Diceros bicornis minor: one gene and its partner. Each later gene encodes a partner of the first gene's protein in a complex. Links are inferred from orthologs where the notes say so. Each region holds a gene or a part of one and is shown on either strand. Other genes may lie near its edges.

Region 1 (8,097 bases):
TGCCTGGCTCCCCAAGCTGGGCCAGCCAGGCTGGGGCCAGTCACAGCAGGACCTGTGGCTCCCCCATTAATCAAGATGGGCAGCAGATAGTGCTGGCCAACCTTCCCACCTCGGGGCATTAGGAGGCAGCATCCAGAGCTGGGGTGCGGGCCGGCCAGGTGGGGAGCACTGTGGGTTGCAGACAGAGGCTGACCCCCTCCACCTTCCAGGGGCTTCCTGGAGGGGCTGCAGGAGGCTGGGGGCTAAGTTAGGAGTGTCCGGAAAATCCCCAGGTCCTGAGTCTGAGGGAGACCCACCCCTCCTCGGCCTCCTGTCAGCAACCCCACGTGTCTACTGCACCCCAATTTCTCATTAACCAATGGGCAGACATGAGCCTGGCCCTGCTGGGGGGCCTCACCCCAGCTTCACAGGTGCAGAAATGGGATCAGAGAGACAGGACCCAACCTTCCCAGTCTAGGGCTTGGCAAGGTGGACCCCCTGGGGTCCCCTAACCTGGACTCTGGTGGGTGACCCAGCCAGCAGGTGGGGGTGCAGCACCTTCTTCGAGGTCCTGACTCTGCAGTCCTGCTGGGGGACATCGGGTGGGGCTGCCTCATACACAGACGTTTGCTGGCGCCTCCTGAGAAGCAAGCCCACGAACTGCATTGCAGCGGATTGTGGCGGGCCCTGGGGGCCTCCTGGAGGAGTTGGCTGGCTGGACCCTGAGCGGCATCCAGCCATGTAGGGGCAGCAGAAAGAATGTCCAGAGGCCAGTGCAAAGGCCTTGAGGCAGGAATGTAGCAGCACTGAGGAGTCCCTGGGGGGTTAGCAGCTGAGTGACAGGACTCCAGAAAGCTGCCTTGGGCCACTGCTCAAACGTGGCCACGGCCGGAGTCCCGCCCACCCCCTCCCCCCCACCTGTGCCAGCTGCGTCAGGGCGGCTCCTCCCACTCTCTCAGGCTCTCATTTCCAACAACAGAGACTGCTGGTGGAGCAGGGCCCAGGGAACCCGGCCCCAGGTAGAAGACCCTCCCTTCTGGCCTCACTGGGGGTAGGGGCAGGCGGAGAGGCCTAGGAAAGGACCCCTGCCTCACCACTCAGGGTAGGAAGTCTCCAGGGGCTGTGTGGGGGCCACAGGCAGGGGCTTGGGCTGCCCCCAAGGAGGGTCACTTTCCTGCCTGATGGAAGAAAGGGTTCCGTGGACAGATGAATTTGAGAAGCACAGCTCGTCTGTCACCAACCACCCCCACCCCGACCTCAGGACGTCCCAGTGCCCGTGGGCTCATTCGGGCCTCAGAGCAAACCCACGGTGACATTCACGAGTTGCGTGTCTCCCAGAATTATGTTCCAGGGACCTAGAGACACAGCCGGCAGCTGGGCCTTCAGACTGGGCTGGCACTCAGGACCTGGTGGAACTGAGTTCAGATCCAGCTCCCCCTGCCTCAGCTTCCTCACCTGTAAAACAGGAGGACGCCAGCACTGCCTGGAAGGGCGCAGGGGATCCCTGTGGCCGCTGCTTGGCGTACAGTGGCTGTTATTTCTCTTGCAGCCCCAAACTTGGCCCAGCTGCGGGGACTCTGCTCAGAGAGGCTGAGTCTGTGATCTCCGCCTGCCTGCCTGCCCGCCCTCTGGCCTCCTGCTCCGACCTCCTGGGCCTCCCCTACCAACCGGCCACCGCCCCCAGGGCCTGCTCCTCATGCTGGGCCCGCCTGGAGACCCTGTTCACTTCCGGGGGTGCCAGCTGCTAGGGCGGATCCCAGTGCCCGCAGGGGCTGTGGGTGGGCCCCGGGGCCTGCACTGCTCCCTGGACGGCCTGCTCTTCCTGACGGCTGGGGCTGCACCCTGCATCCACATGCTGGACCTCGAGGGACGCTCCATCTGCCACCTGCCCTGACACATGCCAGGGGCTGGGGCCTTCGTGCCGGAGGATGTGGCTGTGACAGCTGCTGGGCTCGTAGTGGTCAGTGACCTCGTCCACGGAGCTGTGCACGTGCTCCAGCACACTGCCCGAGCCCCCTAAGGCCACTGGGTGACAGTGGGCACCTTCTTGGTCCCCCGGGGGCTGGCTGTGGATGCCCTTGGCCGCCTCCTGGTGGCGGACTACGTGCCTGGGGCCATATACAGCTTCACATTGGGCCCTGCCTTGGAGCGGCTGGCCCCAGCCTCCATGCTGGGTCTGGAGGACCCCTGCTGGGTGGGCCTGGGGCCTGACGGGGGCTTCACCGTGAGTGAGGAGTTTTGGGACGTGCAGCTGTTCAGCAGTGCCCGCCAGCCCCTGGGCTCCCTGGCGGGCCTGACGGGGCATGCCTTTGGCAGCCCAGCAGGTGTGTGCACCAACGCGGAGGGCAGCGTTATTGTGGTGGACGAGCAGCGGCGCCAGGTGACCCTGTTCCCCAGAGCTGGGGCGCCCATCTGCCTGGTGTCTGAGGGGCTGAGGCCCTTGGGTGTGGCCTGTGCGCCCCAGGTCAGCTCATGGTGGCGGATGCAGGGGATGGCTACATCAAGGTGTACCAGTACTACTCGGAGCTGGCCTGACTCGGTGGGCTCAGATGGAAGCAGCTCCCTCACGGTGCGTGGATCCCGGACCACCACGGGAGGAACATTCAGGGTTGCTGGGGTCCGGCAGGGCTGCTGGCCATGCCTTCCTGACCCTGCACATTTGTGACATTTGCTGAGCATCTACTGGGTCAGGCCCAGGCTGGCCCCCGTCTTCCTTGTGCAGTGTTCAGACTGTCAGCAGCCACGAACCAGCTGCCTCCCAGCCTCCCCCAAGACCCAGTTCAGTGGGCCCCGGTGCTCACTGCCCCCATGTCCACTCCGGCCCGGCCCGCTGGCTCAGGGCCTGGAAGGCCTGAGCTTTGGGGCCAGCAGCCGAAGCCTGGAGACCTTTGGCGTGTTGGGCTGGCTGCCAGCACTTGCCCAGGCAGGATCTCCCGCCAGGGCCCCAGGCCCGGCCTCCTAATCAGACAGAAGCAGGCAGGAGGGCGCGGCCCGGCTTGCCTGGGCTGGGCGGCCTGGGCAGGGGTGCGGCCCCTCACTGTCCCCCATCCTCAGAGGCGCCCCGGCCTTCTGCAGCTTCTCTGGGCCCAGCTGAGGTAAGGGGGAGGCAGGGGAGGGCACCTGGGGTGGCACGTGGCCGAGTGGGGATCCTCTCTGCCCCTGGTCCACGTCTCTTGTGTGAGGCCATCTCGCGGGCTGAGCCCTCATCTCCTCTGCAAACCAGGACCAAGCAGCTCCACGCTCATGGGTGGGGTGCTGGAGGGCGGCGGGTGGTGTCGAGTCCAGGAAAGCCTTCCCGTGAGGACAGACTCCTGCTGCTGGAGAAACCGGGGAACAGGCCCGGAGGGTGGGAGGTGCAGAGTTTCTCTGAGCCCGGGGTCGGCCGGCTCCTCGCTCCCGGGAGAGGTCATCGGGGGCCACCAGGACATTGCGGTCTGTGGTTTAGGCCACTGCGTCTGTCAAGGTCCCCCCTGTATGTCCTGGCCCCTGCAGGTGGGGATAAACTGGGTCAATATAAGGAAGCGTGTGCAGTAGGTGCTCAATAAAGGTTAGCTGTTGCTGCTGGTGTTGGGGTGTTATTCCCTGGAGCAGGAGGGGCCAGGGCCACGTCCTGACGGTCAGATCGGATGGCTGCAGCCTCTGGGCTGGCCCTCCAAGACCCAGCCTTCCTAGCCCACCTGGCCCTGGGGGGACCTGGGGTGCCCCTCTGCAGAGACCAGTGCGCGAGGGGGCCAGGATGGGGGCAGCCTGAGGTCGGAACCCTCGAAAGCCAAGTCCACAGGGTCCCTCAGAGGAGGAAACCGGGGGTGGGGGAGGTGGGGTACTGGAAGGCAGAGGTGTTGGGGATGCGGAGTCGACTGGAGTGGGGACAAGGATGCTGAGGGGGACAAGGATGCTGAGTGGGACAAGGACGCTGAGGGGGGACAAGGACACTGAGCGGGGACAAGGACGCTGAGGGAACAAGGATGCTGAGAAGAGACAAGGATGCCGAGGGGGACAAGGACGCTGAGGGGACAAGGGCACTGGGGGGACAAGGACGCCGAGGGGGGCGAGGACGCCGAGGGGGGCGAGGACACCGAGGGGGGTGAGGACGCCCGGGGGGTCAAGGACTCCAAGGGGCACAAGGACGCCCGGGGGGGGCAAGGACGCCGAGGGGGGCAAGGACGCCGAGGGGGGCAACGATGCCGACGGGGGACAAGGATGCCGAGGGGGACAAGGACACCAACGGGGGACAAAGACGCCGAAGGGGGACAAGGACTCTGAGGGGCACAAGGACTCTGAGGGGGACAAGGATGCTGAGGGGGACAAGGACTCTGAGGAGGGATAAAGTCTCCAAGAGGGACAAGGACGCCGACGGGGGGGACAAGGACGCCAAGGGGGACAACGACGCCGACGGGGACAAGGACGCCGACGGGGGGACAACGATGCCGAGGGGGACCAAGGACTCTGAAGGGGACAAGGACGCTGAGGGGGACAAGGATGCCGAGGGGGGACAAGGACCAACGACACCAAGGGGGACAAGGACGCCGAGGGGACAAGGACGCCGAAGGGGACAAGGACGCTGAGTGGGACAAGGACGCTGAAGGGGACAAGGTCGCCTAGGGCGACAAGGACTCTGAGGGGGGACAAGGACGCTGAGGGGCAGAAGGACGCTGAGGGGGACAAGGACGCTGAGTGGGACAAGGACGCTGAGGGGCACAAAGACGCTGAGGGGGGACAAGGACGCTGAGGGGGACAACGACGCCGAGGGGAACAAGGACTCTGAGGGGGGACAAAGGCGCTGAGGGGCACAAGGGCGCTGAGGGGGGACAAGGGTGCTAAGGGGGGACAAGGACGCTGAGGGGGGACAGGACTGCGCGCGGGCCGCTAGCTCCGGGGCGGGAACGCTGCGCGTGCGGAACGCTTGGGCGGGGCCGGCGGCAGCCCGGGCACCTTTGGGGCCGGACCGTCGCGCGGCAACCCTGGAGCCGGCGGAAATGGGCCTGGCGTCCCGCGGCGCGGCCGCGGCGGGCTGGGGGCCGCGAGCGCTGTCGTCCGCCGCGGCGCGTCCGACGCCGTCCCCAACCCCGTCCCGACCCCGCCGCCCGCGCGCGCGGCCCTGGGCGGCAGCCGGTGAGCATTCGGGGAGGGAGCCGCCGTGGCCCGACGCAGTCGAGCGGGCTGCCGGTCTCCGGGGTTCCTCCCGGGCCGCGCGGGCCTCCGCCGCCCGGAGCTTCTGTGCCCCCGGAAGACGGGGCTGGCGGGGGCCGCGGGCTGGGGGCCGAGACCGCGGCGGGCAGCGAGCGCCGCGGCGGCGGATCTGCGGCCGGGCCGCGGGTGCCCGCCGGGAGTCCGATGCCCTCACCCCGGCGGTGAGGGGCGGCTCCCTTCGACGCCCGGCCCGGCGGCGGGGACCTGTGGAAGGGCGTTCCGCCAGCACTTCCAGTCGTCCCTGACTGCAGTGAGGGCCAAAGACAGAGCCCTTCCTCACGTCCGTTCTTCTGAAACGAGGGGCAAGCGCTGTTGACCCACCGCGAGACCTCGTCCATGTCGTTTCAACGCAAACCACATGGAGGGGGATGGAGCACTCGTGCGCTCCTGAGACGCAGTGCGGGGCTCTGAGGAGGGTTCCGCCTGGGAAGCCCTGGCGGTGTGGCGGGGCTCCCCCAGAGCCGGTCCGTGGGGGATGAGAGGGGAGCAGCCTCCCCTTCTAGGGTCAACTCGACCTCAGGATCTGCGGGAGGGGCGCCCCGAGTCCCGGGGGCCTGACGGATCCGGGAAGGGGCCGGTTCACACTTGGTGTTGTTCTTAGCAGTACCTTTGTTTTTTTATCAGAGCCTTTAAAGATGCGCATGTTGCTGGAGTCACTGCCCGCTCCCCCGCCTGCACCCTGCTATCGATCGCCTGCTCTTTCATCTTCTGTCTGATCTGCGCGGGCTTCTTTGTGTTGGTCGCTCCCAGAGGCTGAGGCGGGAGTGGGGCTGGGAATTTGCTCTGTAATTTGTTAAGAGTTCTCTCTCACTACCCCAAGGACAAGAACGGCAACTTCTGCCCTCCGCTCTTCTTTAGACGTGAGGAGCTGCTGCTTTTTTTGGGGGGGGGGGTAAACTTTGTAGATGAAGCGTAATACACACAAAGTGCACAAAGAGTATGTGTACAACTCGACGAGTTTTCCCAAAGTGAACACACCGTGTAGCCTGCTCCCCAAGAGCATCTGTTCACACTTAGGCCAATTGTGTTTCTTTTCTGACAGTAGCCGTGGGCAGCTTTCCTTATTAGCTCCTGTGAAACGAGTCCCCAGGCAGAGTGTCATGATGTCATTTGGCTGAGCTGGTGTGTCCCGACAGGCTGAACTGAGAGGCTTGGACCGTGCTGGCTGGTCCCCCGGGGTGGTCACCCAGCCAAATGCACCAGGTCTCTCACAGGCAAAATTGTTCTCTCTCTCTCATGATGCCTTATTCCGGAGGACGGCCCCCGCAGAAGGGTTGGGAAGACACGTTGGCCCTTGATGCCCTTGTTGATGGCCGCAGGGATTCTGCCCGCGCTGCTTTCGGGCTCCTTTCGGGCTCTGGGCCTTCCCCTGCTGGCACCCACTGTTGCTTGCCCTCTCTGGTCGCTGGGGGGGCAGGGCATTTGGGAGTCCTGCTGCTGCTTGACTCAGAGGGACCCTTTTCAGTTGGAACCCACGGCCGCAAGAGGTCCCTTTAACAAGCTGGCTGGAGAGGCCTCAATCCTGCAATCCCCATTTGGGCTACTTGCAGTGGAGGAACGCAGCTGCCCTGGTGGCCTCTTAAGCCCTGGTGTTGGTGAGGCCCCTCCTAGGGCCCACTGACCCTCAGGAAGGGGCTCCCTGCACCTCCCGCAACATTGCACCATCCCAACGCGAGTGTCCCTCTCTGTCCCCTTGTCCCTGAGGGCCTGGTGAGCACTGGGAACAGAGGCCTAGGCTCAGTCTGAGGCCTGTGCCCCTCCCTCAGGTGTGGGCTCCAACGTGGGGTCTTAGTTCAGGGCGGCTGCTCTGTCCTTTGTGCCAACAAGGTGGGGGCAGTCAGTGTCTGAGAAACGCGTGCTCCTAGGCGAATCCACTCAGCGCCACACTGCCCGTCAGGCCCCGTCTGGGAGGGGCTCAGGGAGGAATGAGGTGCTTGCTGAGAAGCCCACATCCCCAGTGAGCTTACTTCTGGACAAGCCAAGGCTCAGGGTCCCGCAGAATTCAGGCATCCCGGCTGCTTAGGGCCGTTCTTGCTGCTCAGAGTCCACATGAAGGTCGTGAGAGGCCAGGAAGCCTGGCGTCCCCTCAGCCTGGTGGGATCTTGCCACTCTCCAGGGCCTGCGAACTTCCCACCCCCATTTCTAGATAGCTACCCGGTGGGAGGAATGCTCCTGAAGGAGGCACTCAGCTGTGACAAGAGGACACTCCCCTGCTGGGAGCCCTGCCCTGAAGTGGCAGACGGATGGGCTCCTGGGAAGGGTGGGCACTGCCAGAGGCTGGAGGCCTTGGGGGTCGGAGAGAGGCAGAAGCCGCCTGAGAGCTGAGAGCCCAGAGCTGAGCCTGAGCCTGCTCCCTGGGCACTGAGGCTCCTCCAGGGGCCCACTGGGCAGGGGCGGGCTGGGGGCACCTGCACCAGTGCCCAGGGCCGCTGGCAGTGTGCACGTGTCTGGTTTCCCTTAGCTGGCAACAATTTATTTAAATTTTCATCTTTATTCTTGCTAGCTTTGTAAGTAAATCAAGGTTCGTTAGAGTTTGAATTTGCATTATTTTAATTGTTAATGAGATCCTATGTCTTTCCATGTGCTACACATTAAAAATCCTAATCAGTTTCCTTAGAAACAACTGAAGCCCTCGTGTTCAGTGCGCACACCCTGTGAGTGGTCCTGAGCAGGTCGTGTAACCTCGTCCTGCTTCATCCTGCTTGTCTTTGAAATGAGGGAGTGTGTTGACCTGCCTCGGGGTGGGGATGGGGGCGGCTTGGGGCTGGGCCTGCGCTCACAGCAGCTGGGGTAGAGGTGTGGGTGGTGCCCATGTGAGATGGACAGCTAGAAGGCGCCCACCAGCCTCTGACCAAACCCAAAGCTGGGTCGCCCCAGTGTGTGGGCCCTGTGGCCACGTGGATGCATCCGTCAAGGCTGTCTATGCCA
Region 2 (8,179 bases), on another chromosome or scaffold:
ATCTCACCTTGAATGACAGTAGACAATCAACAGATGCCAATACCAAGAAGACATAGATGTTAGAATTATCTGACAAGGATTTTAAAGCAGTCATCATAAAAATGCTTCAACAGCAATTACAAACACACTTCAAACAAATGGAAAAATAGAAAGTCTCAGTAAAGAATAGATGATATCAAGAAGAACCAAATGGTAACTTTAGAACTGAAAAATATAATAACTAAAATAAAAAACCTCAATGTATGGGCTCATCAAAAGAATGGAGAAGACACAGGAAAGAATCAGCGAACTTGAAGATAGAACAATAGAAATTACCCAATCTGACCAAGAGAAAGAAAATAGACTGAAAAAAAAAAAAATGAACAGAGCTTCAGGGACCTATAGGGCTATAACAAAAAAAGCCTAACAATAGTGTCACTTGAGTCCCAGAAGGAGAAGAGAAAGAGAGTGAGGCTGAAAAAAAAAAAAAAAAAGAAGAAATTATGGCTGAAAATTTCCTAAATTTGGCAAGATCTAAACTTACAAATTCAAGAAGCTGAGCAAACTCCAAACGGGATAATTCCAAAGAAATTCATGCCAAGATATATCATAGACAAACTTCTGAAAACTAAAGACAAAGAAAAAACTCTTGAAAGCAGTGATGGAGAAACAACACCTTACCTATAGGGGTAAAATTATTCAAATGACAGAGATATCCCATCAGAAACCACGGAGGCCAGAAAGAAGTGGCACAATATTTTCCAGGTGCTGAAAGAAAAGTGTCAACCCAGAATTCTATATCCAATAAAAATATCCTCCAGGAATGAAGGGGAAATCAAGACATTCTCGAAGGAAAACTAAGAGAATTTGTCACCAACAGACCTACCTTAAAAGAATGGGTAAAGGAAGTTCTCTGAGCAGAAAGGAAATAAGAGAAGGAATTTTGGAACATCAAGAAGGAAGAAAATGGGCCAGCCCCGTGGCTTAGCGGTTAAGTGCGTGGGCTCCGCTGCTGGCGGCCCGGGTTTGGATCCCGGGCGCGCACCGACGCACCGCTTCTTCGGCCATGCTGAGGCCATGTCCCACATACAGCAACTGGAAGGATGTGCAGCTATGACATACAACTATCTACTGGGGCTTTGGGGGAGAAAAAAATAAATAAATAAAATCTTTAAAAAAAAAAAAGGAAGAAAAAATCGAAAGAGCAAAAATATGAGTAAACACAATAGACTTCCTCTCTCCTCTTGAGTTTTCTAAATTATGTTTGATGGCTGAAGTGAAAATTATGCCACAGTCTGATGTGGTTCTCAATGAATGTAGAGGAAATATTAAGGCAATTATAAATGGGGTAGGATCCACATCCACATACTGGCAGGGTGACGAACGCCAACTCCATGGGGACAGAAACTCCTGCATTCAGGACCCTCCCATACCTCACCTTATGTATCTCTTCATCTGTATCTTTTATCATATCCTTTACCATATAATAAACTGGAAAATGTGTTTCCCTGAGTTTTGTGAGCTCTTCTAGCAAACAATCAAATCCAAGGGCATGGGAACCTCCAACTTGTAGCCATATCAGACAGATGTCGTGGGGAACCTGGGGACCTACTACTTGCAATTGGCATCCAAAGGCAATTGGCATCTGAATTTGTGGGGGAAGTCTTGTTGGACTGAGCCCTTAAACTGTGGGATCTGACACTATCTCCAGGTAGATAGTGTCAGAATTGAGTTAAATTGTAGGACACCCAGCTGGTTGTTGGTAGTGTGGTAGTAGTGTGAGACTAAAGGAGAAACACAGGAGGAAGACTTTTTTCTAATAAAGTCGTGTATATATAATATAATACCTAGAGCAACCACTAAAAAAGCTACACAGAGATACACTCATAAACACTATATGGATAAATCAAAATGGAATTCTAAACAAGATGAAAGGTGTTATATCTATCTTTTTAAAACCCTATTTAGTTGGAATTTTTTACTTATATGGGCCTTTACTTTTTCTCCCCATGGGTTAAGTGGCCCTGAAGACGAGACTCACTCTCAGTTAACACAATAGCAGCACTCATGAATGCTGCATCATAAAAAAGTATATAGAATAAAAATTACAGTATAAGACAGTATTCTTAGAACAAGTACTCAATCCACAAGTGTAAGCAAATACTAAAAGAAGTTTCTAAAGAAGAGTTTTAAGAACCCAGCAGGGGCCATAAAAGTAAAAAGTTAACTGAATTCTTTCATTAGATTTTTTCTTACTATTCATACTGATAGACATTCAGGTTCTAAGAATAACTTCAACTGTAGAAATAACTACCCATCTTATCAAAAGTAAGTCAGATTACTGTGTACTGCCTGTGTACTGCCATCACAATGCTCCATGCACTCAAATATATTCCCTGGTTCTTGTAGCCAGAACTCTGGAAAGCGCAGCAAAGACTGGCTAGTTATTCACCAAATCGTTTCTCTTTCCCCACTAGGCATACTGACAGACCGTGTTTCCCAGCCTCCTCTGAAGTTAGGTATAGCCATGTTAATGGGTTCTGGCCCAGTGGAATGTGGGTGGAAGGCTCTGCCATAAAACCATCCCATGCATGATCCTCCATTCTTGCCCCTCATCTGTTGGCCAGATGTAAAGGATCCAATGGAGAGGAACATAGGAGGCCCCAAGGAAGGGTAGCCACTAGATAGAAGGAGACTGGGTCTCTGAATCACCACTTGGCAAAAAATTATGAGTCATTTGACCAGGAGCACCCAAGTGGAACAGCATACAGACAATAAATAAAAATTTGTGTTAAGCCACTGAAATTGTGAGGTGTTTGTTTTTAAATAGCAGTTAGCCTACTTTGACAAATACAAGCGTACACATGTTTCTCATGCTTCCTTTCTCTGCTTCTCCACAACTGAATTCACTAGAGAATTAGTTGTGAGACTCCTTCAGTGACCCTGCAAAAAGATATCAAACCTCCTTGGAGAAACTTGCCAACTGCTAAGTCTAAGTTCTTTTCATTAGCTGCACTTCGTTGTTGACATATTCCACTGAACTTGTGAGTCTGGGGAATACTTTGGAATCCAACATTGAGAGCTAAAAGAATCACTCCTTGCTGTTTTTACACAGTCATGGTCAAGAGAGCTTGTCACTTGATTTCCCAGTTGGCATCTAGGTAAATGGCAAATACATAGGTTTCCATTTCTACTGAGGTGCCAAACTGCATAACAGAGTTAAGATGACGCTGTGATCTGACAGAGCAAAGCAGTTATAAAGATTTTGGAATTACATTACCACACTATCCCAAATTATTTAAAAAAGTAAGTATATTTAGGTGTCTTTTTTTCTATCTATGACTCTACAGTTGTGAAACTTCTGAGCCTGCACAGGTTCTTGAACTTTTTTGTGCCACAGACCCTCCGTAAGTCTGGTAAACCTAAGGGATTCCTTATCACAATAATGTTTCAAAATGAACAAATACATAGGAGTACAAAGAAAACTGAATTAAAATATAGTTATCAAAATATTTTAAAAATGTTATAGTTATATGTGTCTCCATCGACACATTAAATAACAAGACCCTAGTAGTGGGTCTAATAGTTACTGCAATTTTGAAGTAATGATGAGTGGAAATGACACTTTGATATAACTAACAATTATTATGAAATGAAAATATCTGTGATTTCTATTGGTGACAAAAATCACAAGTATTACTAATTGGTTTGTTGCTACATTCATAAGCAAAAGAAATGCTGAATTTCAATTAGAAGTTAATGAAACGAAAGATGAAATTTTGATTTTATCCATGGAGCCCAGGTTAAGAACTCCAGGACTAGAGGTTTCCCCAAAACATCGATAGTGCTTATCTCTCGTGGAAATATGGGTGGTTTAAATTTTTCTTCTTTTCTGTATTTTTCAAATTTTCCACAATGAGCAAACATCAGTTTTATAATTACAAAAACCATCACATGATATTTACAAAAATGAGAGGGGTGTATTGCTTGGTAAGTTTCAAGGTACAGAAATAAAATTGGGAAAACAAAGCAATATTTGAAGAAAATCTTTTAGAAAAAAAGAGGGGAACAAAATTCTGGGTGAAAATGGAGAAATTAAACCTGACTTTCATCAGCGAGATTTAAAGCTGGTGAGACCGTTATGACATTTATCTTCATACACAAACGGATCAATTCTTCAATACATGATGCCGCCTCAGGGCTGAAGCACCATAACTCTTTTAACAAGCCACACAACCACTCTCAGGTCACATCCGAAGTAAAAAAAAAAGGGAACTCACAGGCTGCTATTACTCATTTTAGTAATTTTATTATCCATGCCGTTTGCATCTTCCACTTTTGCTAAACTCCCAGCCAGGACTTGTCTGCCTACTCAGTGCTCCACGCGTGGTTTGGGAAAGAGAAATCCCAGGCAATGGAATCCAAACTCCTTACCAGGCCCCTACAAGACCCTCCTGGATCTGACCCCTACCTGCCTCCCCAGCTTACAACTGCATTCCCCATGCGTCAGCCTCTCTGACCTTTTGATTCCTCCAATAAGCCAACCTTGTCCCAGCCTCGGGGGCTTTGCCTTTCCTGGTCCTCCTTCCTAGCAAATTTCTCCTCCAGAGCTCCCCCGGACCAGTCTGGCTCCTCATCCCTGTACTCCAGTGTCTTTCCTCATAGAGACTTTCCCGACTGCCCTATCGAAAGTCCCCAAGCCACCCCCGCCGGTCATATTATTGCCAACAGAACTCTCTGAAATTATTTCCATATTTCTCTTACTAGGAAGGAAACTACTCGAAAGCAGGAACCTTGTCAATATTGTTCACCTCTGAATCCTCAGCACCTAAAACTACCTGGCGCAGGAATGAGTGAATGAGTACGTGGAACGAATGAATACCTGTGGACTGTCTTCCTGGGGCGCACTCTGCCTTAGAAACAGAAACCAGTTTGTCGAGCAAAATCACGTTAATAGCAGTTTTAACCTGACCGCTGAATTGTTGGCCCCCTACGAACCTCTAGAGCAGACAATCATAGAATCCTGGGCGAGCCCAGGCGCGAAAACAGAACCCCGAATACCCTTCCACGGCTGTCGGCGTGCCACTGCGGCTGCGCGGAGCGTGGGGAGGGGGCGTGGCCAAACCCGTTCTCCGGAAGTGAGTCCAGAGCCGGCGAGAGGACGCGGCGGGCGGGCTAGAGCGGCGCGGCCTGACCGTATGGGGGCGAGCGGGTCATGGAGGACGAGCAGAGCTTCTCGGATATCTGCGGCGGTCGCCTGGCTCTGCAGCGCCGCTACTACTCCCCGTCCTGCCGGGAGTTCTGCCTCAGCTGCCCTCGGCTCTCGTTGCGCTCGCTCACTGCTGTCACCTGCACCGTGTGGCTAGCGGCCTACGGACTCTTCACCCTCTACGAGGTAATGGCCGGTCGGCCCCTTCCCGCGGTCGGAGTCGGGGGCTTGGGTTTGGAAGGGTCTTTGGGGTCTTAGTGGCGAGCCCGGACCTCTCGTCGGACCCTCCTAAAGTCGTAGGGCCAGAGGGCGGGAACTCGCTGGCCCCGGGACGCCATTCGCTGCTCTTTTCATTACGTTGAGCGAAGTTTGTGCTTCTGTACTTTACACTTCTCCGGGGTCGCCGCTCTGCTCTGTGGCTCCACTCCGCGTACATCTAGTCTGTGCACGACAGGCTAACTTCCACGTGCCCTATATAGTCCATGCTCACAGTAACTCAGTTCCAGGAGTTCAGAGAACTGTTAAGTGGATCGTACTCGTCCATCTCTTCCACTCAGAGGTATCACTGCTAACAATATCTTATATAGTCTTCTAGAAACTGTCTTTGCCTCCAGAATGTGTGTGTGTGTCACACATACACACAAGGTATTTAAGAGCTTGATAGCAGCTTTTATACTTCTTCGTAATCTTTGTTTTTCAAGGCAGCTTACCCTCCCTTCACAAACCCCTTCGCCAACTTTAAGTACTTTCTAAAGAATTATGAAATTTCTGAGATGGGTGGTTTCTGTGCTCAATTTTCAGACTCATTCCTATTTTCTGAGCGTCAGTTTTCACATCTCTAAAGTGGAATTAATATCTGCCATGCCACCTTCACAGTATTGTGAGGGTCACATGCAGGAGCTTTGTGACAGCCCTCAAATAAAAAGAATGATCCTAATTGCCCTTTTCGGAATGAGTTTAGTTTCATGTGTGGTACCCTGAATTGAATATATTATTCTAGGAGTGATCTGACCAGAGCTAAATGCAGCAGGATATTTGCATATTGTTTCCATTACTGCATCCGTTAGCTTTTTTGCCATCAGAGCATATTTTCAGAGCGTGGTAATTTAGCATAGATGTATGCAGAATTAAGACTGCCCTAATTTGTACCAAATTGTATCTAAAAGTTTGTTCATAAGTCAGTTGAAATGGCTAAGTTGCCAGGACAGTCCTTCCCCCTCCCACAAAAAAGATTTAATTTATAATATAGTTGAATTTTAATACTAACTTGTTCTGGCTCATGTGAGGAGGAGGGAACAGATATTTATTAAATGCCCACTACATGCCAGCTGCTTTACTGAATGCCCCATTTCAACCTTAGAAGAAAACCAAGGCTCAGAAAGAATGAACTTCTCCGAAGTTACAAAGCTAGTAGCATACCTGGGCTTCAAACCCAGGGCTGTCTAACTCTGAAACCCTTTCTTTTCTACCATATTATGATGTCTCCTCCTTGGGGAGGACTTGCTTAGACAAAATTTTTAATTAGGAGAAGTTTGTTATTAATCCACCTCCCTTTTGTACTCATCTCTCTCATCGTGGTATATCCCACTTACCCCCATCAAGTGCCTAGGACTCAGTAACCTCATCTTCCTTTAAACTCCACTGCAACACTTCTTAAGGGCTCTGTGTACCAAAATTCTTATCTTTCCCCCTATTCAAAACTGTTTGTCAGAGTAATGAATCTCAGCTAGGAGTGAGAAGAAATCTGATGAAGGAATTCATTAAAACATGTGGCTTAACTTCAACCCAGATGAATATTGAATTGTTAGAATTTCAGACAGAAAAATGAAGTATAAAAAATGCAGGTAGTAATGAAGTTTTGGGCAGAGATTACCATATTAAAAAACTGATATGAATCAAATCCCCTAGACATTTACTGCTCTTCATCTCTTCTTGCCCTCCAGTTTTTTTTTTTTTGTGAGGAAGATCAGCCCTGAGCTAACATCCATGCTAATCCTCCTCTTTTTGCTGAGGAAGACCGGCTCTGAGCTAACATCTATTGCCAATCCTCCTCCTTTTTTTCCCCCAAAGCACCAGTAGATAGTTGTATGTTGGAGTTGCACGTCCTTCTAGTTGCTGTATGTGGGACGCGGCCTCAGCATGGCCGGAGAAGCGGTGCGTCGGTGCACGCCCGGGATCCAAGCCCGGGCCGCCAGCAGCTGAGCCCGCGCACTTAACCGCTGCGCCATGGGGCCGGCCCTCCCTCCAGTTTTTGAATTCACTGTTCTATTAAAATTCCAGGTTTTTTCCTTATTTATTCCAATATGGAATGTTCTCCCCCCTTCCTTTTCTCAATTTAGTATATCTGTCAATAACCACCACCTTCTCTGCACCAATTAAATTCTGCTTCCTTGGAAGTCTTCATAGGATGTTCCTGTGTGCTTTAGTCTTTGTCTTTCTGGCTCTCTCTTTTAATCCTTTCTTAGGCATTTCAGTCAGTATCATAGTATTCTCCAGAAGTATTTTATATGTATTAATCTTGCCTCTAATAAATCTCTGAGGGCCAGAACTGAATTTTATTTCTCTCCATTCTTCCATAATGCTTTCAGACTATGTACAAGACACTGTACTAGATACTAGGCATTTAAGTAACTCAAAGTAGATATTTCTGGATCATCAGAGACGCAGCACATAGATTTCTCCATCCCCCATTCATTAATCAGCAACTAATTATCTAGCACACAGGTCAGCAACCTTTTTCTTTAAAAGGCCGAATAGTAAATATTTTAGACTTTACAGGTCTCTGTCTCATATTTTTCTGTTTCTTTTTCTTTTTTTTAACAACCCTTTAAAAATTGTAAAAAGCATTCTTAGCTCAAGGTGAACCACAGGCCCAAATAGTTTGCAGACTCCTGATCTAATACTATGTGTTAGGCAGAAGAAAGTAGAAAGGTACTGTCAAAGAAAACCAGAGCCGGTCAGTAAAGTGGTAAAAACAGATTTTATTCAGAA

The links.
Region 2: PIGQ (region 1) and PIGH share a complex: the UniProt entries of both Homo sapiens proteins name them as parts of the glycosylphosphatidylinositol-N-acetylglucosaminyltransferase (GPI-GnT) complex. The link is inferred for Diceros bicornis minor from reciprocal best matches to the Homo sapiens genes PIGQ and PIGH.

What each region holds. Positions count from the first base shown.
Region 1 is NC_080765.1:47,745,180-47,753,276, reverse strand, and holds the start of PIGQ (phosphatidylinositol N-acetylglucosaminyltransferase subunit Q), read left to right. Parts: upstream 1-5,011; 5' UTR 5,012-5,091; intron 5,092-8,097. UniProt on the Homo sapiens protein: Part of the glycosylphosphatidylinositol-N-acetylglucosaminyltransferase (GPI-GnT) complex that catalyzes the transfer of N-acetylglucosamine from UDP-N-acetylglucosamine to phosphatidylinositol and participates in the first step of GPI biosynthesis.
Region 2 is NC_080763.1:16,254,937-16,263,115, reverse strand, and holds the start of PIGH (phosphatidylinositol N-acetylglucosaminyltransferase subunit H), read left to right. Parts: upstream 1-5,139; 5' UTR 5,140-5,194; coding exon 5,195-5,374; intron 5,375-8,179. UniProt on the Homo sapiens protein: Part of the glycosylphosphatidylinositol-N-acetylglucosaminyltransferase (GPI-GnT) complex that catalyzes the transfer of N-acetylglucosamine from UDP-N-acetylglucosamine to phosphatidylinositol and participates in the first step of GPI biosynthesis.